Linked DNA regions of Danio rerio. The protein of the gene in region 2 interacts with the protein of the main gene of each other region in a biochemical or structural test. Links are inferred from orthologs where the notes say so. Each region holds a gene or a part of one and is shown on either strand. Other genes may lie near its edges.

Region 1 (6,972 bases), about 5.7 Mb from region 2:
GAATTCCAGCTTAGTCAGAAAGTTATAAAGTCGCACTTCCAAGTTACCTAGTCAGAATTCCAGCTTATAGTCAGAAAGTTATAAAGTCGCAATTCCAAGTTAGCTATAAAGTCAGAATTTCAGGTAATACAACTCAGAATTCTGAGCTATTAAGTAAAAATTTAGAGTTATAAACTCAGAAATCTGACTTTATAATTTGAAATTCTGACTTTATGACTTGAAATTCTGAGTTTATAACTCAGAAATGTGACTTTATAACTCAGAATTCTGACTTTATATTCAAATATATATATATATATATATATATATATATATATATATATATATATATATATATTTTTTTTTTTTTTTTTTTTATTAGTCAGTGGCGGCAACGGGCTTCCATAAATGGCAGAATGTCCTATGAACACTGAGCTAATTCTCAGTAAAAAACATATGGCATATTCCATTGTTTCACACACGAATTAACTTTCTTAATGAATCAAACTTTTATAATTCCTTCTGAATCAATGCAATGTTTCATCTGCTGGTATTAAATATAAGAATTTAATTTCTTTCTCATAATATTTAGAACATTTAGAATCAGAATTCTTTTGGTAATTGGCTCTGAAATCAAATGTACTAAGAATTCAAATTACTCTAAAAAAATACACTGTTGTTTGATTTCAGAATAAATGACGATGAACTTATTATTTTCAAACCCAAAACAGTCAACATGCCTTTTTTTGCACAAATAAAACGATTCTTTTCCCTGAATCAGAAACATTGATTCATAAATCTTTCAGAAATGTGAATGAAGATATTATGAATGGCTAAAATATTTCTGTTTGACGTTCCTCAAATGCACTTAAGCAAAAGTATAACAGTCAAGAATCCCGGCTTGTGTTGTAAAGCGGAATCCTTCACATATGAAAACGAAGCTCAGTTCTCAAAAGTGTACATCGGCAACTTTTGAAACACGGCCATACAATCTCTGTATTCACAACACGAGTGGGACACCGTAGATGGCAGCCTCACAACACACTCGTTGTCTGCGAACAGTTTCGTTTTTACTTTGAAGTGACACATTTAGTGGAAGAGTAACCAATTTTCTTGTAGTAGGAAATCGACGACGTTATGATATCGGCGGCGGTCATATTGACGTGAATATATGATGTCAGACCTAACTTACCAGGAAACAACCTAAAGCAGCGCGCGTTTAAACCAACACAACATGTGGAAAATAAGTGCTTTTTTGTAAGAGCACGAGAGACCCCAGGCTCTTCGTACAAAGTATGTTTGAGCAAAATAGGCACATTAAAGTCACCCCACCCAACTACGTAATTCACTGTCTCTGGGCCAAGAGAGCAAACAACAGTTCAGTGTTTGGCAGACTCACACAACGCAGACTGAGAGGAAAAGCAGCAAGACGGTTATTAATATGATCAGAACGAAAAAAACCATGGCTGCGGGGAATAACATAAGGTCAATTGCGCAATGTGATGAAAAACATTTACATATATATTCCGAGCAAAAATTTGCAAGAGAGAAAAAAACGTGTTTTTCCCCCTCCCCTCTTCGGGACTCCACTTGCGAGTCTTTTCTAATAGTAAGCACGTCTGTTTAAACCATCTGAAGAAACATGCATTGCATTGGAAGACAGCATATAGACTAGTAATTCTGAGTTTTGCTTTTGGAAAGTCCAGTTTTGATGTATATTTTCCACCAAGTACAACAATAACATCATTAAAGTCATTTTTGAAGCAATCATGACAAACTATACACTCGCTTTTAAATGCAAAGGGGAAACTGCTGTCTAGTTTGAGATCAAAGCAGAAAGTGTTCACAACTACCTGTATCAGCTTTTATTATTTAAAGAAACTGTGCAGTAGTTTGACATGTTGGGGATACATCTGGAACTGGTTGGGGTATATACTGTACCGGACTAAAGCTAAATCGGCTGAGACGTTTACTTTAGCATGAATATGTTTGTTTTGCCTTTAAAAAGTCACTGCAACACCATCTATGTTTCTAATTTTATGCATGTCTATTCTTTCCACCCAGTACCATCACATCTGTTCATTGCTAAACTTTAAGGGGTTCAGTAACATTGAGTGTCGCCATGGAAACTGGCTGTGTTTCTGGATAGAGTTACTGTGTGATTTAAACGGATAAGGCCATAATTGTCAAAACAAAACAATTTGTGTGAACATCAGTCAGTCATGTTCTGTAAAGTTATGATATTTAGAAGCAGATACAGTCTTTCCTCTCTTTTTTTCATGGGGAGTCGACAATAAGTTTAAAAATGCAAAGAAAAACAGAAAAACACACAACTCAATGGATTCCTCTGCGATGAAGGAGCATGGCTTACGTGCTGTAGACCATGACTACTTCACAACTGTTTCCATTCTGTCACTGTCTGTTTGGTCACTAGCACCACCTATCACAGATGAGACTGGAAGCGGCCCTTTAGAGCATTTTAAAATACCACACCATGGTAATCCTGTTCAAGACCACTTCCATCCCTTCTTTTTTTCTCCCATCTAATGTTTAAAGTCCATCAGAAAGGTTCAGAGTGAATTAAGTGATGTAGATACGGTGGAAGTCATTTGCTCCGAATGCAGCGTTGCATTTGGGGCACTTCCTCTGGCGAGTGTCATAGCGAGTCTTCAAGCATTCATAGCAGAAGACGTGGAAACACTTAGTGAGGACCGTCTCCTTATCACGAGTATTACAACAGGGACAACGCAATTTAGCCTAGAAAAGATAGAAAAGTCAGGTTAGGCACAAATAATAGTGATACAGTTACTATTCCAGTCAAATGTTTAGATGCTTAATCCATTATAATGACATACAAATTGAACAGTGCAAATATAAATTCTTTAGAGAATTAAATCTTAACATTATATAAAAAGAAGAAAGAACAAAAATTTGTAAACTTGATGCGAAAGATGAAGACGATGAAGTAAAATGGGAGCCATATATATTTTAATAGAGCTGTCGCTGTGATACTCCTCTCATTACTGTTATTCATGTCCTCCATAATAACCAATGAAGTACAGCAATGTAAAATTTTTGGTGTGACAGAACTGTGACAAATGTCAATCTAGAGTGATGTTGAAAGATGCAAAAAGGTCATAATGGTGTTTGAAAAAAAAAGTCTAATACAAATGAAACAAGTCTTATAATAAGATTCTATGCATTTTTCTTTTCACTAGAGGGACATAAACATGTCAGGTTTCATTTAAAATAGTTGCTTATAAAAGTTCATATTTGAAAAGTGTAAGTGACGCCAACTTTTTTTGAGTTAACTCAAATAACCACTCATTACAAATGAGATATGCAGAAGAGCATCTCTGAATGCACAACACGTCCAACCTTGAGGCGGATGGGCTACATCAGCAGAAGACCACACCAGGGCCAACTCCTGTCAGCTAAGAACAGAAAACTGAGGCTACAATTCGCACAGGCTCAACAAAATTGCACAATAGAAGATTGGAAAAATGTTGCCTGGTCTGATGAGTCTCCATTTCTGTTGCAACATTTGGATGGTAGGGTCAGAATTTGGCATCAATAACATGAAAGCATGGATCCATCCTGCCTTGTATCAACGGCTCAGGCTGGTGGTGTAAAGGTGTGGAGGATATTTTCTTGGCACAATCTGGGTCCATTAATTCTATTTGAGCATCGTGTCAACACCACAGCCCACCTGAGTATTGTTGCTGACCATATCCATCCCATTAAGACCACAGTGTACCCATCTTCTGATGGCTACTTCTAGCAGAATATTGCACCATGTCATATAGCACAAATCATCTTAGACTGGTTTCTTGAACATGACAATGAATTCACTGTTCTCAAATGGCCTCCACAGTCACCAGATCTCAATCCAACTGAGAACCTTTGGGATGTGATGGAACAGGAGATTTGCATCATGGATGTGCAGCCGACAAATCTGCAGCAACTGTGTGATGCTATCATATCAACAAGGACCACAATCTCTGAGGATTATTTCCAGTACCTTGCTGAATCTATGCCATGAAGGATTAAGGCAGTTGTGAATGCAATATAGGCTCCGACCTGGTACTAGTAAGGTGTACCTAATAAAGTGGCTGGTAAGTGTATATTATATACATAATAATAACAATATTAAAAACATACACAAAACAGAACTATTGTGAAAAATGATTACAATTTAAAATAAGTGTTAAATGTCATTTAAGAAATTCCAGCAGAATATTTTTAGGATTCTTTGGTAAATCTTATTCAAAACAACAAAAACAGCAATTACTTGAACATCTTGTAAAATTATGAAGTAAATTTTACACCATACTATAGATCAATCACTATAGATCATATCCTTTTTGAACCAGAATTTTAAAAAAAGTATTTACTGTGCCTAAACCTTTGATTACATACATCAAATGAATAACTGAAGAGCAAATCTTCACCTTATACTGATTAATTTCTTCTTGCAGAATCTCATCAGCATCCGTGTACACCTCAACCTTCTTCTGCTTCTCCAGCTTGCGCCTTAGTCTGGATAAGTCCTCCTGAAATAAGCAACAGAACACCAATGTTTTACACATTCTTCCCACTCATCTGTAAACACATCTACAACACGCATGCCCATGTACCTGTGCTTTCTTGAGGTTGACGCTCTCCCTCTCACGGGCGGTGCGGTTGTCTAGTACCGAGGCCTGGATCTCCCTCAGCTTGGTCTGAGTGTGTTCCAGCTGTACTTTAAGGTCTTCGGCCAACTGGGCCGCCTCCACAGCCTGAGCCATCATGCAGAAAGACAAGCATTAAACACACACACACACACATCTGGAAATGTGCACTAATGGTTGGTTAAGCTGAGTCATGGTTGTCATGGACATGAGAACAGAGGTGGGCGTCTGTGATCTTTCCGGATTTACCTTGCGCTTGTTGAGCTCCAATGCTTGAGTGCGCAGCGCCAGCTCTTTCTCCAGCGTGGCCAGCGTGCTCTGCAGGACGCCCTCCTTCTCTTCCAGTTTCTGTACGACCAGCAGCTGAGCGTCCACCTGGGAAGGGCAGTAAAAAGGAGATGATGCAATCACAGCAGTATTGTGAAAACAGAAGTTGTTTACTGCTTTTATGTGCAGGCTTTTTTGCCTTAAGACATGAGAGGCCTCCATTCAAGCAGGGATGGACAAACTATTCACACAATTATTTTTTTTCTAGACATTTGCTTTTTGTAGGGATGATGCTTTAGACTTTCTGGTACTTTACCCTGAATTAAAGGTAGTTAAGGGCCCTGTTTACACCTGGTATTAACAGAGTTTTTCATCGATCTGATACTAAGTGGTTTGCTAAAATGCCTTACAGTTTTCAGTTAATGTTATCATGCATCTCTTGTGATCACCCGTCTATCCTCTTGTTTGATCACACTTTGTTGGGAACCACTTAGTGACACATATCTATTAGTGCAGTGTTTCTCAACCACGTTCCCGAAGGACCACCAGCTCTGCACATTTCCTTGTCTCCTTAACCAAACACACCTAATTCAGATCATAAGCTCAATAGCAGACACTAAAAGACCTATAATGGGTGTGACCGACAAAGGAGACATCCAATACATGCAGTGTTGTTGGTCCTCCAGGAACGTGGTAAAGAAACACTGTATTAGTGAATGAATTAACCTAAACAACATGCTTAATAGCTAGTGAGAAAGGATGCATTTTAATACCTCTTTTCAACTGAGCAGTACGGTTCAGTTCACTACAAGTCACCTGATCAGGCTCGTGTATCCTTACTTTGTAGAAATGATGTACGCCAGGAAGTTGCAGTCGATATCATTCTCGCTCAAAGGAAATCATACGGGCCATTCATATATTGCGTAAATTGTGCACTAAAGTTCCAAACAAAAATTGACTATGACCAAGTCTAATTATATATAATCTTATGATCTTGCCACATAATGAATTAACTACACATCTCAAAGGATTATCGGATATCATAAGCATCAAAAGGATATAGTTAACGGTTTCGCTGCCCACAGTGTGTTTAATTTTGTGAGGTAATTAATAAACTTGCATCTGAAAGTTGAGGTTGTTGGTCACTTTTTCGTTTTGTGTGGTTTATTTATAAACTAATTTCAAGAGGAACACACGCTTCTGATTGAACACAGCTGGTCATGCATTAGCCAATTCAGGATTCACCAATCAGACGATTCCTTAGTCACTATAAATACCTTAAGTTCCATATCACTGCCATCTTCGTTTAGAGAAATCCCCTCTTCCGCCCCTACTGCTCCTCCTTTCTTAGATGGGTGGCACAGTGGCCCAGTGGTTAGCACTGTCACCTCACAGCAAGAACATTACTAGTCCTTACCAAGCCAGCCGACATTTCTGTGTGGAGTTTACATGTTCTCCCCGTACTCACGTGGGTTTCCCCTGTGCCCCCTGGTTTCCTCTCACCATCCAAAAACACACAACCTAAATCAACTGACTAAATCCAAAATCGGCATCATAGATGTGCTCCTAGTAGGTAGTTATATCTTAATAGCAATCCCTATCCGTTCATTAGCTACTACAGCAGGGAAGTTTTTGAGAACTACCTGAGCTCAAACTCCCCTCTCGCCATGCAAAGGGAGGGAGCCCTGGGCTCGAAGACCTTATCAGCTCACGACTCCCTCCCGCGCCAGCATGCCAAACATACTTTGTAATTAATCATCAGCTAGGTGTGAACTCTTGAAATTAGTAAAATATATTGATGTTGTAATAATTAAGTATTGACTTTATTAACACCAATGCTCTCCATTTAGCTGTCAATCAGTAGACCACTGTAAGGCACAAGTAAATGTCTGTCAAGAATTACTTTTGGGATGTTTTGAACAAAGCCATAGTCAACAAGTTAATACAACCCACAACTTTATGATTATAAAAATTGGTTGCACATGTAAGTGCAGGGGTGCAGCTATGGATTCAGGGCCCTCTGAACAATGTACTGACTTGGGCACACCTTAAATCT
Region 2 (8,249 bases):
TTAAAATATAAAAAAATGTATACAAACGGATATTTTTCTGATCCCATAACTCTGTGGTTAATAGTTTTGGAAAACATAAAAGTATGTTTTATTATAAGGTTGACTTACTTTCTATGTAAATTTGTTTTGAGATTTCACTGCAAATGTCACATCCATAACGCTGAAATTGCTCCTATTCATTAATTTACCAGTAATAATATTTATATTCAGTAAGAAATTTGACAGAAATTAAACAATACAATTACATTCTCTGTAAATAAACTTAATGTGACAAAAGTGTTATCCTTTGGAAAGACATGCAAAAAAGTTGTTTATTGCGGATGTTTTTCCCTAAAGGAAAGGCCTTGCATTTGAGGTTTCAGTTTAATACTAGAAATCAATATAGATTACTTACAAAAACTTAGCAAGAGTAATGCGTTTACAATAACAATACAACAGTATACATGATAATCCTATTAAATTACATTTTTTAAAAGATCTTATGTATAATTGCATTCATGCACAAGTGTTTACATCAGCGTGATCCATCAAAAACAGTTTGTACCTATATTTTTATATAACAAAAGAACAATCTCATAGAAATTAATGAATTTCAGACTATTTACAGCAGATCTGACTTAAGCACTTTAAATAATCTTGTTCTGGTACTTTATTCTGGATACTAATACAGTTGAGGTCTCTATTTTCCAACTCAGTGAATTGAAGAGTTAAAGGTGCAGTAGGTGATCGGTCTAAATGCTAAGCGGTTAGCATAACATCTTTGAAACACAATCCCTCCCCTGTCGTCCAAGGCCACACCTCCTCAAATTATGAACACGCACATTAAAGATGACAGAGACCCACTAGGTCATGTTATTTGCCAGTTAGAAAGCTTTATAGTACTTTATAATACTACAGTTCTGAATGAAAGTCTGTATTATTTATAGCATGTTTTTAGTTGTGTAGTTAGCAAGCAAACCTTTTCATCCCTCTGTTATCACTCTCTCAACAGTCTTAATATCTCACAGGTTTTGTCCTAAAGCGACTAATGTATGCTTATTGATTGGCCGGCAGCATGCAGGAATTACACTTAATACAAAGCCATACTGACATGCTGTTTCAGAGCGAATATTCAGAGTAGCATGGTAAACAATATAGGGAGCGTGTCACAGGTGGTCACTGTTCAAAAATGAACCAATGTGATGTGAATATAAAAGCAACTTCAGCCTAGTAAAGCAGGCTAGGCAGAATAGCGCTATTTACTAATGTTTTGTTATTAAACTAAAAAATAATCAATGCTGTAAAAGGTCTCTAATGAAACTGAAAATAGTTGCATCATCTTTTGCCGGAAGATTTCAGCGGCTGAACAACACTTCTGTCCATATAACCCATTCCTAATGGGTCCATATAACCCATTCCTAACAATCTACATCAGCTTTGCATGACTAAAATGCTTTCAAAACATACCATTACCTGTCTAAAAGAAATATTTCAGGCATGGAGTCATCATTCCAACAGAGTGCAAAAGTAACTCCAATATTGATCTAGGATTTTAAAAAGTTTTGATTATGAGATTGTTTTCAGCACTGTCACTCGTGTCCACTGCCCGTGTAAACGCACGGCACGATCTGCGCGAACGGGTTGGCAGTTGTTCAAATCTACATTTGTTGACAGACAGTTTGGGCTTCTTATCGGAATTATAGGTCCGAAAATATTTAATTGGATGAACTTTTTTTTGTCTTATGGCTTACCCAAGAATATAAAAATACATATAAATACATTTAGATCATTTACTTTAATCATTACTATAGACTTTTAACCAGCACAACAAATTTTTTTTCTGAAGACCATCACCTACTGCTGCTTTAAGAAATCAATGGCTAAATAAACAAATGAATCAAGTGGTAAAATATCATGAAATGTATATGAAGAAACTGATGATCACAGTGAAACTCAACTAAACTTGACTTGCCAGCTTGACATAGCAACATTTGATCGATCAAAATCATGAGTGCCCATATGATACGGAAAGAAATGTGAACTTCATCTGTAGAGCTGCTTAAAGTGTCGCCAACATTTTATTGGTTTATGCAAGAAAAAACTATTTATTAATTTACAAAAAATCTTATTTTGACATCTTGCCAAAACAGAAATTCTGTTTAATGTTCAGCTAATTCAATAAAGTTTCATTCAAGAAACTTTAACAAATGTATTACTATTGTATTGTATAACTTACATTTCAAAGTAATAATAATAAAAACTACGTATTAAAACAAAAGAATAAAATAAATAATAAAAATGAATAACAATTTTTTAACCATTTAATAATAAATCAACCGTCACTTCAAACCAGTTTGGTTCCGAACATTACTTAAAGTATGTTTTATTTTATGCTTGAGCAGTAGAAAACAAGCACAGGTATGCAAAAGACATGATGCTGAGGAAATAGTCTTAATTTTCATTTTTGGTTAAACTATCCAATAGAACTATAAAAAACAGATTTATTCTAGCATAGCTAAAAACATGCTTAATGTTTCCCATATCAATAAACTCATGTGGATCTGGCAAAAAAGCATTAGGAATTCTGCAGGACATTTTCAAGTGATATGAAATTATTACAATTCTATCTCTCACAATTTCTGATTTGAAAGCTAGGCAATCCCTGTGAAATGCATTTAACTTTGTCTCTTTAACCAAACACAGCAACATGACTAACACAAAAGGATGATTTCTGACTAGTTGTGTTTCTATAGAAAAACCTAAGCACTAATTGAGAACGCCATAAGGTTTACAACACAGATCCATGACCAGTATCAGCCTCAGACCTGTGCATCTAATCAAACGATCAATATGACTCCCGGCCTTCCCCTTCTTACCTCCTTCTCGCTCTCTCCCTCTGTGTGGATGGATGGCTTTTGCTCTGCCATGGCCAGTGTTGTCCATGTGTTTATTGTCTGGACTGTCTGATCTCCGCAGCATCTTGCATGGTGGAGTGGCATCATTACTGTCGCGCATCTTCTCATGTCTGTGATCCGGGTGACTCTTGGATGAGTACTTAAGAGTCTGTCAAAACATGACATTTCTGCATTGAACTATGCTGCACAATTACTCTCTCTCAAATGCATTAAGGAGCTGGTTTATAGTGGACATAGCTGATATTACATAGCTGACAAGCCTGTTTACCCTGAGAGGACTATGTTTGATGCTACTCTAAGGTGTTTTTGACTAGCAAACAAACATCTGACATGTTTTAAATTAATAAAACATTTCATAGGACTATATTATGTATATTAATGTTGTCATACCATATCTTTACTTTTTTCAGTTAACTAACGTAACATGGAAAGTCTATAAGGACAATTATGCCATTCTTAACTATATCTTAATCATTTACACGATAACTGCATTCGTTTTATTTGGATATGGTTGCACTAACTAGCTATCAAGACGGCTGTTTATAAACAACCTCTTGGCCTTAAATTATATTTACGACATAAAAGTTTTTCTAAAACATCTTATTATGCCCCATAATATCATGATAATACATTTTATATTACCAATTTTGATGAAACTCGCAGTAAACGCAGGCCTGGTGTAGCCGCTAGCAAGCTAACGTTAGCCTGTTAAAGTCGCTAGCGCCCTGGGCGCATTTAAAATGTGATAAATTCGACGGGCAAGCGATTTACGACAGTGTAAATTCATGTTCACATCCTAAAATATACGTGTTTGTCGTTTTAAGCTGATCTCCGGAAAAATACGACACTTTTTTGCTCTGTTTTACGCACAGAGGCCTGTACTGCTTCAAAAGCCTGGACTAGATTTACCCCATTTTAATCTTATTTGTTTCAGATCTACCTGATAGGGCTGAGAATCCCTTCGGTCGGTGCACCTATGAAATAAAACAAAAAAGAGAGACAAAATTAAAGTCAAAACCCATTTTGACTAACATTGTTAGAAATTGCAACAGCTGAATCGGCTTCCTTAAGTTTCTACTTATTTTGGTTTGGCTAAAAATGGCGGATTGTCAAAGCGGAGAAGGAAAATCGTAGTATAAAACAGCTCTTTACCCATCGCCGAGTCTCGGTTGTTTCCTTGCATACATTACCATCAATGCCGTGTTAGTGTGTGTGAAGTAGATGTGAAAGATGGGCGACTTATTTTGCTTTAGGAGTGGGCTATCGACGACACGATCGCGTATATTATTTCAATAGTTCTGGCTATTGGAGTCGCTCTTCGCCTCTGCTAGTCAGTAGAGCGCCCTCGGTCCATCTCCCACTCACACACACACCAAAACTCTGCCCCTATCTACAGAACAGCGAAGCTCAGCCTTCCTCACACACCTCAATCCGGGTTACTTCGGGGCTCGCTTCGGATACACTCGGCTACTGTCGGGATATTTCGGCCGCAAATACAGTTCTGAAGTAAGTAGCGCATGTGAACACGAAGCATCGGTGAGGATGTTCACTGGGATAAAACAAGTCTAAACCAACTGTGCTTGAATTACTCACAAAGAAGTTTAATTCTCATTCAATTTTAGGTTTGGAAAAGTGTTGACTTTCAGTGCGAGCAATTTTAACCCAATACTGACATCTACTGGACGTGTTGAGTCAGTACTGGAAGATGGATGCAGTGCAGAAAGGCCCTGATGCAGTATGACTCACTAAAACAAGTGAGTCTGGGGAATTCTGGGAAAAGATGCATGATGTGAGCGCACTTTTTAAATGAGACAGCAACAGGAACAATGTCAAAAATATCACAAGTGGAACCGAGTCCTTCCAGGTAATATGAAGTGAGAAAAAACAAGATTGTTATTTGAAACCATTCATTGCAAAATATAGTGTTTTAAATCTAATATAAATTAAGTTGGCTTTAAAACTAATGTTCTAAACGTAAAATATCTGCCAGTAGCAATTAGAGCTGTAGGTTCTCTTGGGTAATGTATATGTGCACATTTAGTCTGGATTTTTGTCTGTTTTTCCATGTAAATTTTGTGCCAGTTCTGCCAAATGAGATGAAGAGTGTGGGTGGATATTTACAGGTCATACAGATTTTCAGTTGCATTCAAACTTGAGTTATTGCAGATTTAAAACCCTGTCAGCTCTTCAAAAAATTGTTTATTCCAAGCTAAAAAATAAGTATTTTAAGTTTGCATATTGTTTTATTAAAACTTGTACTGATAATAGACTTCAATTAATAAACTAAAGAAAGTGCTATTCACCCTTTCAGTATTGTATTTTATAAGTTCACTTGTAGTTGCAGTCCAAACAAAAACACATTGTACTTTAAAAAAATCTTGCTGCCATTTGTTTTGGATGAATCAAATAGCTTTTCTAGTCATCTCAACTTACATCAGTCAAACTGATTTAAAATATTAAGATAAACTTTGTATAACAAAAAAAATAAACAAAACAACAATAAAAAAACATTTTGATGGGACAGTGGCGCAGTGGATCGCCTCACAGTAAAAAGGTCGCTAGTTTGAATCTTGGCTGAGTCAGTTGGCATTTCTTTGTGGAGTTTGCATGTTCACCTTGTGTTCACATGGGTTTCGTCCAGGTGCTCCGGTTTCCCCCACAAGTCCAAAGACATGCGCTATATGTGAATTGGGTAAGCTAAATAGTCCATAGTGTATGTGTGTGAATGAGAGTGTATGGATGTTTCCCAGTGATGGGTTGCAGCTGGAAGGGCATCTGCTGCGTGAAACATATGCTGAAAAGAATGAATGAATGGGTGAATTAAAAAAAAAAACATTTGTTACCAACTTTTGTCATATAGTTTTTTACAGTGTGAGCACTCTGAGATTTATACAGTAAATTAAAAATTTCAAGAGTTCATTCAGAGCAGGGTTAATCTGCTTTCAGCTACACCCCCACTGCTGGAATCAGCTTCCAGAAATGATCAGATGTGCTCCAACAACAGGTACAATCAAATCAAGACTTAAAACACATCTGTTTAGCTGTGCCTTTACTGAATGATCACTGTGCTATGTCTGACAGATCACACTAATATGTCTTTTTTTTTCTTTTTTTTCTTTTAAAAGCTGTTTAACACATTTTAATCTGTTTTTAATCATTTTATTTTTAGTTTTTTCCTTGTATTTTCTTTCTTTCTTTCTTTCTTTCTTTCTTTCTTTCTTTCTTTCTTTCTTTCTTTCTTTCTTTCTTTCTTTCTTTCTTTCTTTCTTTCTTTCTTTCTTTCTTTCTTTCTTTGAATAAAGAACTTTGAATTACCATGGTGTATGAAATGTGCTATAAAAATAAACTTGCCTTGCCTTACAGTACACGTAAAAACTAAAAAGTGGGAAAATTCAGTATAAATAATAAAGTGAAAATAGTGAAATAGCATATTTACTACCTTGATATTTGTATATTGATTACATAAAGTGCACTTCATACATTTGAATTCTACTGAAACAAACTTATACAGATTGTTTTAAACCATGCAGCATCACTGACATAAACAGGAATATAAAAGTGATACAAACTTCATCTTAAACTTAATAGCTTAAATTTAAAGTGAGAAGTAACCTGTTAGTGGCAGTTCCATTAAAAGTTGCTTCGGTTAATTTCATTAATGGTGTTAAAGCGACAGTATACCCAAGGCGGAAATGTTGATCATCATTTACTCACCCAAGAGTTTCTTTCTTCTGTTGAACACAAAATAAGATATTGTGAAAAAAACTAAAAACCTGTCACCATTGACTGCTGTATTTGTTTTTCCTACCATGGAAGTCAGTGGTTATATGTTTTCAGCTACAGGGTGAGTAAACAGTGAGTGGATTATCATTTTTTGGGTGAACTGTCCCTTTAATGTTGCAAAGTTAATCAGTTACGATATGAAACAAATTTAATGAAGCAGTACAAGCATGCATTATTGGGTTCAAATGATTTAGTTTGGTTCAACAGCTGTGCTTGTGTTACAAAGTTAATCTGTGCATGTGTTGCAAAGTTAATCTGTGCATGTGTTGCAAAGTTTATCAGTTATTAATGGTTTCTAAGACTGTCATAGGTCACATTAAAATTGTATAAAAGAGTGTTAATACAGTCAAATCCATACTGTTTCTCTGAATGTCTAAAAATTAAGCTCCATGACATTATGTTGTGTCTATAGTACTCTCCCCATAAAAAACTGGAGTTATTGTCATGAAGTTTTTCAACTATTTGCTCATAGTTTATTCCAAATATCTAAACAGCAAAAATCCTCTTTTAGCATCATTGTTGGATACACTGTTTTCTAACAATGAAAGCAGGTGCATCAGCACACTGATTGTTCGAGTCCTTTATCAGCTCTTGAGCACATGTGCTTCTAGAATAAGTTTACACATTTTCCATGTTACACTGTTAAGAAATGTACAAAATAAAACAGATTTTCTGAATAATTTAATAGCTTTAACTTTAAAGTTTAAGAAGTGTGTTTTCCAGTGATGCATTAAACCAGAAGATAATTTATTATTCTTAGTACGAAGAGCAATATACTAAAGTACTAAAGTATATTTTTTCAATTTGGATTTAAAAGGGTCTTGATGAATCTATTGATGCCAGTGTGTAATTTATCAGCCCTTTTCTGGTTTAAATTTTTTATTATTAGAAATTTTTGCAGACATTCCCTTGAAAATATATTTTTTTTATTAAAAATAAAATAAAATTATAATAAATCAATAACAAACAACAGTCAAAAAATAATAATTAAACAAAAAATAAAAAATAAACATGCTTTCCCCCAACCAACCACCCACTAGTTCAACAATAAACATAGGTACTAAAGGCATAGTAAACATATTAATCACAAGTTTGTAAAAAAGAAAATAAAAGGGGACCAACTCTTTTTCAAATAACAAAACCCTGTTGTATGTGCCATCAATCTGTCTCTTGTCTTGTTTCTTCCTTCGAATTATTAGGGTTTTAACCTGAGTAAGACAATCCAGTGATGTTGTTTTAAAAATGTTTAATAAAAACTTAACTGAACTATATTACATGGTAAAAAAATGGTCTTGGTTCCACCTTCATGACACAACTTCTTCCTTCCTGGAAGTGACATCAGCATATACTCTATATTAAAAAATATTTAATTATTTAGTTATTATTTTTGCTTTTCACATTATTATTCATTTAACATAAATAAAACAATGACAGGCTCTTATACCTGTCTATTAGGGTATATCTATTTTTTTCCAGATGTCATGTACCGGTTAACTCTCTCAGCCATAATTTAAGAGTTGAAACTGGCAAGTTGGAACTGGCAAGAGTTGGCAAAGATCAACCCATATGAAA

What was found.
Region 1: the proteins of waca (region 2) and rnf40 form a complex in vitro, tested with the Homo sapiens proteins (2 studies listed by BioGRID). The link is inferred for Danio rerio from reciprocal best matches to the Homo sapiens genes WAC and RNF40.

The regions. Positions count from the first base shown.
Region 1 is NC_133187.1:30,765,196-30,772,167, reverse strand, and holds the end of rnf40 (E3 ubiquitin-protein ligase BRE1B), read right to left. Parts: intron 5,025-6,972; coding exon 4,899-5,024; intron 4,758-4,898; coding exon 4,617-4,757; intron 4,533-4,616; coding exon 4,431-4,532; intron 2,737-4,430; coding exon 2,560-2,736; 3' UTR 1,830-2,559; downstream 1-1,829.
Region 2 is NC_133187.1:25,082,880-25,091,128, reverse strand, and holds the start of waca (WW domain-containing adapter protein with coiled-coil), read right to left. Parts: upstream 4,277-8,249; 5' UTR 4,088-4,276; coding exon 4,047-4,087; intron 3,869-4,046; coding exon 3,835-3,868; intron 3,043-3,834; coding exon 2,856-3,042; intron 1-2,855.